Oryctolagus cuniculus: one gene and its partner. The protein of the gene in region 2 binds, or shares a complex with, the protein of the main gene of each other region. Links are inferred from orthologs where the notes say so. Each region holds a gene or a part of one and is shown on either strand. Other genes may lie near its edges. The genes, in order: PELI1 and MDC1.

The links.
Region 1: the proteins of MDC1 (region 2) and PELI1 are in contact, whole or in part, in a crystal structure (PDB 9IF9), measured with the Homo sapiens proteins. The link is inferred for Oryctolagus cuniculus from reciprocal best matches to the Homo sapiens genes MDC1 and PELI1. Residues at the interface, in NP_055456.2 of Homo sapiens: Glu761, Asp762, Ser763, Glu764, Thr765, Gln766, Pro767, Phe768, Asp769; in NP_065702.2 of Homo sapiens: Arg104, Ser105, Thr106, Glu107, Thr115, Asp116, Val130, Gln131, Ser132, Thr133, Ile134, Ser135, Arg136, Phe137, Thr185, Asn186, Thr221, Arg222, Ser223, Ala224, Cys247.

Annotation. Positions count from the first base shown.
Region 1 is NC_091433.1:138,702,758-138,706,567, forward strand, and holds part of PELI1 (E3 ubiquitin-protein ligase pellino homolog 1), read left to right. Parts: intron 1-3,009; coding exon 3,010-3,111; intron 3,112-3,810. UniProt on the Homo sapiens protein: E3 ubiquitin ligase catalyzing the covalent attachment of ubiquitin moieties onto substrate proteins. Involved in the TLR and IL-1 signaling pathways via interaction with the complex containing IRAK kinases and TRAF6.
Region 2 is NC_091436.1:139,721,561-139,725,870, reverse strand, and holds the start of MDC1 (mediator of DNA damage checkpoint protein 1), read right to left. Parts: upstream 3,006-4,310; 5' UTR 2,341-3,005; exon of another isoform or gene 2,015-2,340; intron 1,652-2,014; exon of another isoform or gene 1,493-1,651; intron 1-1,492. UniProt on the Homo sapiens protein: Histone reader protein required for checkpoint-mediated cell cycle arrest in response to DNA damage within both the S phase and G2/M phases of the cell cycle.

The DNA of each region.
Region 1 (3,810 bases), on a different chromosome or scaffold from region 2:
TTGAGTCCTTAAGTCCTTAAATCCACTATTACTATTTGGGAGCTAGTGTGTGTAGAAAAGGGACTGTTTGATTTTGCTTCTTTGCAGAGATAGGATTTTATATTAAGTAGGCAGTGGAAGTAAATGCCTTATTGATCCAATTGAGGAGCTTCTTAGAGTACTTCCCTACAAGAGTGCTCTTGGCATTTTGGGTCTACCAATTCTTCATTGTGATGGCCAAAACATGCTTTTACATATTTTCAGATTCCCCTTGGACAACTAGTAACTTCTTCTGGTTGAGAACCGTTGTTGGGGAACATATTTATATTCCATACCTCTGTAATAGTCTTTTCTGGATTTTTCTTCCTATTTTTACACTGTCATACCTGTCATGTTTTCATTGTTACCTCCTTTTCATTCTTACTTGGCAAAAGAATCTTGAAGATCAAAGACTGATTACTTCCTCTAAATTTTCACAGAATATATTAAGTTCATGAGGAGGATAAATGTTTAGTCTGGAAGTCATCTGGAGTGAGTGATTAAAACTGCCTTCCAATCCAGTGAGACTCAGATTTAACTTGACATAGTTCTTATTCCCAGTCTAAGAGTGGGTTTGGGGCTGGTGTTGTGGTTTAATGGGTAAAACCAGCGCCTGGGACGCCAGCATCCTGTATGGGTGCCAGTTTGTGTCCTTGCTGCTCCACTTTCAGTCCAGCTCCCTGCTAATGTACCTGGGGAAGCAGCTCAAGTTTTTGGGTTGCTGTACTCAAAATGGGAGACCTGGAAGAAGCGCCTGGCTCCTGGCTCCAGTCTGACTGAACCCTGGCTGTTGTGGCCATTTGGAGAGTGAACCAGCAGATGAAAGACCTTTCTCTTTGTCTCTCTGTCTATCTGCCTTTGAAATAAATAAATTGTTAAAAAAAAGACAAAAATTATAATCTTAAGGCACATAAAGCTAGTGTTTTTAAATCTTTCAAGCTGTTAAGAATTCAAGCAATTTTTGGTTGAAAGCCGGTTGCTTAATGGTGAGTTTAATTTAGGTTTTAAAACCTGTGAAATTAGTATGTAATGTTTATGAATACATAAATGTGCACTAAAAAGTATTAGCAGTATGCATGTAAATGATCTGTATTGGAGAATGGGCAGATAGGTAGGAATACATAGGCAAATACAGTTGCAAATACAGTTTAATTTCTTGAAAAAAATCAAAATTAAAAGTGATATTTGTTAAGCTTTGATAAAACTGGATAGTTAATATCCAGGTACTTGTTTATTCTGTTTATATACTTCAAAATTTGATGGTTTTAATTAAAGTTATTGTTTTAAAGCTTTAAATTCTTACAGTTTAGCTACAAATGATAAACTTCTAATTAAAGAACATTTTATAGTTTAGCTTCTTTGCTGTGTGTAATCACTCTCCGTTTCTTTATGTCTGTTTTCCTCTCATGCAGCCGTTTCCACATCCTTTGTACATGACTAGGTTTTTCCTCCCTTTGATATTTTCTCCAATTCATGTACATACAACACTCCTGAAAACAAAACTGAAAAGTTCTTTTTAGCAACGTTTTTAGTTTGAGATAAGTCAAATACGTGCATGAGTGTTACATCTCTTTCCTTTGGTAATTTTAATCATTCTATGAATTTTTTTGCATCTGTAGAGTCACAAAATGGATAGACAGCCAGTTAAGTCAGCTTACTGGTTAACTTTTTAACTCTGAGTGACTTTAAAAATAAGATTCTTGGGTTGGACATTTAACCTAGTGGTTAAGAAACAAATCCCATGTCACAGTACCAGTGGTCGGTACCCAACTTTGGCTTTTGATTCTAGCTTCCTGTTACTGTAGACCCCTAGAGAAGGGGATGATGGTTCAAATACTTGAGTTTTTGCCACCTATGTAGGTGATCTATGTTGAGTTCCCCATTCCTGGCATCAACCTAGTCCAGCGCCAGGCATTTGGTGAGTGAGCCAACAGATAGGAATCTGTCTCTCTACCTCTCAAATAAAAATTTTAAGTGAAGAATTTTTAATGGAAATAAAATTCTTTTGGGGCCAGCGCTTTGGTGCAGCGGGTTAACACCCTGGCCTGGAGCAACGGTATCCCATATGGGCACCCGTTCGAGACCCAACTGCTCCACTTCTGATCCAGCTCTCTACTATGCCCTGGAAAAGTAGTAGAAGATGGCCCAAATCCGTGGGCCTTTGCACCTGCATGGGATACCCGGAAGAAGCTCCTGGCTCCTGGCTTTGGATCAGTGCAGCTCCAGCCGTTGCAGCCAATTGGGGATGGATGGTTCTCCTCTCTCTCTTTTTCTTCTCTTTCTTTCTCGCTCTCTTTCTCTCTGCCTCTCCTCTCTCTGTGTAACTCTGACTTTCAAATAAATAAATAAATCCTTAAAAAAAAAGATTCTTTCAAGATTCTGTATTTTCTCATCAGATTAGTACTGAGTATTGTTTTCACTTTCTACAAGGGGTTTTTTCTTAAATATTTATTTATATATTTGAAGGTCATAATTATAGAGAGAGGGGTCTTCTGTCCACTGGTTTCTCTCACCAAGTGGCCAGGGTGAAGCCAGGCCAAAGCTAGGGGCTTCTTCCAGATCTCTTACGTGGGTGTCAGAGGACCAAGCACTTGGGCCATCTTCCACTGCTTTTCCCAGGCCATTAGCAGGGAGCTGGTTTGGAAGTGGGGCAGCCAGGACACAAACCAGTGCCCATATGAAATGCTGGTTGTCTCAAGGGGCAGTACACACTACACCACTGCACCACAACCCTGTCCCAGAATTTGGTTTTGATTTCTTTAAAATTTAAAATAATTGTAGGAGAGACCCAGATTGTATAAGTTTTTGATTTTATTTAAAAGTATGTTCTTACCTGAGAAGTCACTGTCACAGCTAAGGCTTTTCAATAGTTATTAACCTCTCTCAAGTTTCAGGGGGTAAATGCATAAATGTGTCATATATGTGATTTACTTTTTGTACTGATTTGATTGACCTGCCTACTAATTTTTGTTACTAACGTTTTTCTCCTAGGCAATAAGCAACAAGGACCAGCACAGTATATCCTATACTTTATCTCGGGCCCAGACAGTGGTGGTTGAATATACTCATGACAGCAACACTGATATGTTTCAGGTATTACAACATTTTCAACTTTTTTTTCTTAAAAAACAGAACAGTTAAAAGTCTATTGTCTGTAACTTTTCCTATGATCAGATTAAGGATCATCATAGCTTAATAATGTATTTCATATATATGACGGGTCTTCAGAAAGTTCATGGAAAATGTATAAAAAAGCAATGCACTGATTTCAGGTTTTTTTTGCATCAAAATAAACTTTACCTTTTAATTTCATTTTTCATGAGCTTTTTAAAGTCCTTCAGGCATATTGAAAACCTCATATGTTGAATTCAGCATAACAGTAAGAGTCAAGCGTTGGGATTAGAATTTCTGGTATACGTTACTTGGCTGCTCTGTGTCTATTTCCTCCTCTATAAAGTGCTGGTAATAGAAACTCCCTCCCAGGTGTTAGGAATAAATAAGTTTGTGTGTTACATACTCAGAGCTGGGCCAGGTACCTGGAAAGCTCTTGGCAAATGTTAGCTATTATTATCAGAAAAAAAAAAAAAAGAGAGAGAGAAAAGTAATCAAGAACTATTCTGCACACATAAGTGACCTCTTGTCCACTACCTCCCACCTTCCTGTACAGGCAACAGAAAGTACAGGCAGCTTTGATTTCTCCCTCCACCCCATCCCTTGTAGCAATCCAGTGCTGATTTTTTTTTTAAACTTATAAACAAATTTCTTTATATCTTCTCGCTTAACATTGAGTAT
Region 2 (4,310 bases):
TAAATCTGGATAGTTATGGAAGTTGATACTTGTCTTTCCTTCAGTCATTCTGTTATCCTTTGGAAGCATTTAAAAAGATTTTTGATCAGGGCTGGCACTGTGGCATACTAAGGTTAAGCCTCTGCCTGCAGCATCAGCATCCCATACAGACAGGTTTGAGTGCTGGCTGCTCCACTTCCGATCCAGGTCACTACTAATGTGCCTAGGAAAAGAGTGGAAAATGGCCCAAGTGCTTGGGCCCCTGTACCCACGTGGGAGACCTGGAAGATGCTCCTGGCTCCTGGCTTCTGCCTGGCCCAGCTTTGGCTGTTGCAGACATTTGGGGAGTGAACCAACAGATAGAAGACCTTTTCCTCTGTAACTCTGCCTCTCAAATAAACAAATATTTAAAAAGTATATATTTTTGACCATGACACAAAGAAAGATAAATATTACAAGGTCCTCATTACACAAATATATACAAACATGTTTATTTATATATTTTTTGAGAAACAATGCTACGATAATACACTAAAATTCTTATTTCTGTTTTTCCTATTCTCTATATTTTTAAATTTATTGTATTTGAAAGACAGAAGAAACAAAGAAGGAGGGAGCAACAGAGATGGTCACAATGGAGGGGGCTGGACTCAGCTAAAGCCAGAAGCCAGGAACTCCATGCAGGTGGCAGGGGCCCAAGCACTTGGGCCATCTTCTTTTGCTTTCCCAGGCACACTAGCAGGGAGCTGGATTGGTAGCAGAGCAGCCACAGTAATATGGTATGTCAGCATTGTAGGCTGTGGCTAACCCTGTGTACCACAATGTCAGCACCTCTCCTTATACTTTTTAAATGAACATTTACAACCTATTAAATGAACTTCACTATCCACAACTGGGCTGCAGCCCACTGCTCATACACGCCAAGTCTGTGCTGGGCATTATGTGTCACGCACAGTAGACGACAGAGGTAGACATTTAGGAAACTAACGCTGAAAATATGAGATAATTTGCTCCGGATAACACAGCAGGTTAAGTAGACAGGTAAGAAGAAATGTTCTTTTGGTTGTACTGCCCGTACTTTTTACACTTTGCCAGAGCACCTCGGCGTGATCAGACTAAATTACAAAAACTCCTAATAGTCGACATAGAGAGGATTCCGGTTTCTTACACTGACTGCCTCACTTAGTCTCCACAAGAACCCTGTAAAGAGGCATTATTATTATCTTTTTCTTTTAGCTAAAACAACATATATGGGTGAAGGAACTTGCTCAGAGTCACTCAGATCTCTCTTTTTAATATTTTCTGATGGTTTTCCCAGGGTAAAATAAAACCTAAACTCCTCAGCAAACCTCCTCCACCCCACTTAAGCCTTTTGTTGGGCACTGCAAGCCCCCACCCTCACTCCGCTGACCCGCATGCGGTCCAACCAAGCCTCTATAAACACACTCCCCTCGGCCCCACAGCTGATGCCCAAGGCCCTTCCCTCCTGGTTTCCTGATCGACTCCTGCCCACCCTGGGGGCTTTAGTTCAGGCGCAGCGCTGAAGACGCTGGCATCTCACATCCGAGCGCAACTCCGCTTCCAGTGTCAGCTTCCTGCTAGCGGGTACCCTGAGAGGCAGCGGGCAACGGCCGCCCACGTGGGAGGCTTGGGATTGAGTTCCAGGCTCCTGGTGTGGGCCCGGCACAGCCCCGACTTTCAAATCGATAGTAACAGTAATCGCCGTCCTCTGTTCAAATGTCCTCCCCTCATTAAAGTCCTTCCTAGTTTCCGGTGACCCTGGTGGCCGACGGCCTTGCGCCTACCCTGTAACCACCACTCTCACACTCCGCCGCCCCTCCCCCCGGAACTCTCCCTTTCCCCCCGGTGCCCATCACGGTCGTTCTACGGTGGTGACGGCGCGCCTAGGGCTGATCAAAGAACGGGGGCCACATCCGTGAGGCAAACCCTACATGCACCCTGCCCTCGCAGGGCTGCCTCACTGAGCCTGCTAGGGGCAGAATGAAAGGAAGAAATAAGGATGGAGTTCACTTACAAAGAGGGAAACGGGCAGCTAGGGAAAGGAGGACGCCCCCGAGGCGAAAAGGTTCACTTCGGCCTTAAGACGGGCCAGCCCAGCGGGCGCCCGCGTTCCTCGCCTTGGAATCAAAGGACCACCATCTTTGATCCCCGCCCAGTGGGGCTCCGTCGGGATCCAACGCCTCCCGGGGCGAGGAGAGGCGTCAGGTGAGGGTGGGCATTTACAGTCCCACAAACTTTCGAATTACCTCCGCCCAGTCGCACCCAGGGCACGCCCCTCCCGCCCTCCGTCGGAATCAAGATGGTACCCGCGAAGATGTGGGCGAGGCCCTCAGAACTCACCTACTTGGAGTACGCGCGCGCGCGCCACCCGTAACGGTCGCGACCGGGGCGGTGCGAATGCGTGCGCCGGAAGGGACCCGGCTCGCTGATTGGCTGTTGTCGCTGTCCTTCACGACCGTCCTGCACGTTGATTTGATGACGCCCACAGAGCGGCGGCACATTCGAATCCCCTCCCCCAACCGTCCCCCCACAGTTCAAAAGGAAAGCATCTCCCGGGAGACAGTGCTCAGTTGAGGAAGAGTAATCGGAGGCCGCGCGAAATAGCGCATTCTGATTGGCCAGCTCCAAGGGACCGCCCACTGCCGTTTCATGGCCCACCGCCCACTTCCCGCGCAGACTTCCAAACCGCGACCAGAGAGTCTGGCGCCAGTTTCTGGCGGCGGATAGAGCGTCTCTGTACTACAGTCGTCGGCCGCGTCTGGTCCGGCCAGAGCGCCCTTTTCCGGTCCTCCCAGACATGGTGTCCGCTGACTCAGGAGAAACAAATGGGTTGCGGATTGCAGTCGTGGCTCCAGGCTGCAGTTTGGAGGACAGCCCGTAGGCGTGGCACTTGAGGCTCCTCACTGCAGTGGAATTTCATTGCCTTTTGATTTCGCTTGTTTAGTAGAAGTCGTGTCATTTCCTCCTGAGAATACATCCCCGACGGACATTTTGAGGACATTTTCCTAAACGGAAGATCCTAAAATAAAAATCCAAAGCCTAAGAGAGGAAACTGTTTTGCTAACCGTTTTAAAAGGTTGGCCTCACTTTTCAAGGGGCAAGGCAAGGATGGAAAGTAATTTATTTCATTATAACGAGACATGAAGAGACCAGGAAATAATTTGATAGGGATCTACTTTAGGTAGCTCTTTCCCGTTTGTTATCTCAGCTCGGGCCACGAGAACCAAACAGAAGTAGATTTTATCTCTGCAGCTCTGCGAAGTTAAATGACTCGCTGGGTTCCTAATGCAGAGACAAATGGAAACAAGTCCTCCAGTTCTAAATCTGAGCTCTTTACTGCAGAAAAGCTGCTTTCGTTGTGAGCATGCCCGAAAACATAAGATATTTTAATGGAGTACAAGGGTCCTACACTCACTTAACGCTCCTTCATTTGGAAGGTGATTTAGAAATGTGCGCTGATGCTGATGGAATGTGGATTAACAATGACCTTGACTGGGACCACACCTCTCTAGACTGGTGCTTACCGCATTTCTCATCGAACTGCAAGGTCCTGGAGGCCAGGGAACGGATTCTTAATCATTTTTGTATCTCTTGCTCCTGGGTTGGTGGATAGGTAGTACCTACCAAATGAGTGAGTCCTTGGGAAGCAGGTGGACCCCGTGGAAGCCCATTCCATTTTCCACTCTTTCAGTCACCCCTCCCCCTCTGCAATGGCCACCGCCCGCCTAGTCAGTGAAACTGAAACGCACCGATTTCATCAATCTGGACAGGCCGTCTGGAAAGACCGAAATCCTATGAAGCTTCAGACTCCCTAGTTCCCCGTTTTCACAAGAAAATCAAGCTGTTTTCCAAGGCCCACATCCCCATAACGGAGGCTGCAAATCTCAGCACTTCCTCTAAACGCTGCAACTTACTCCTTGAACAATAGCTACATCCCAAAAGACCCTCGCTACAGTTTTGTTTCTCTGTCGCAACTTTCTCAGTCCCAGACTCCCAGGGAGATATCAGGAAGGCAATCCGAGGGGGCAGCGGCTTATGCGGGTTCAGGCTTTGGGTCACCCAAGGGCCAGAGTGCTGCACCGCTCCCTGGTTTTCGCTGAGCTTAGCAGTCCTGTCTTCAGACAGCTGCTACTACAGGGAGCTTTCTGGGCGTGCCCTCCTCACCTCCCAGCCCCCGGCACCCAGGACTCCCCAACCCCTGCATCCCCGAGAACAGCCCCCTTTCTGCACAAAAGAACTCAGGCACAGAGGGAAAGAACCGCAGACACAGTCCTGCTCTATTGCAAACACACGCAGACGCGGCCGGTACC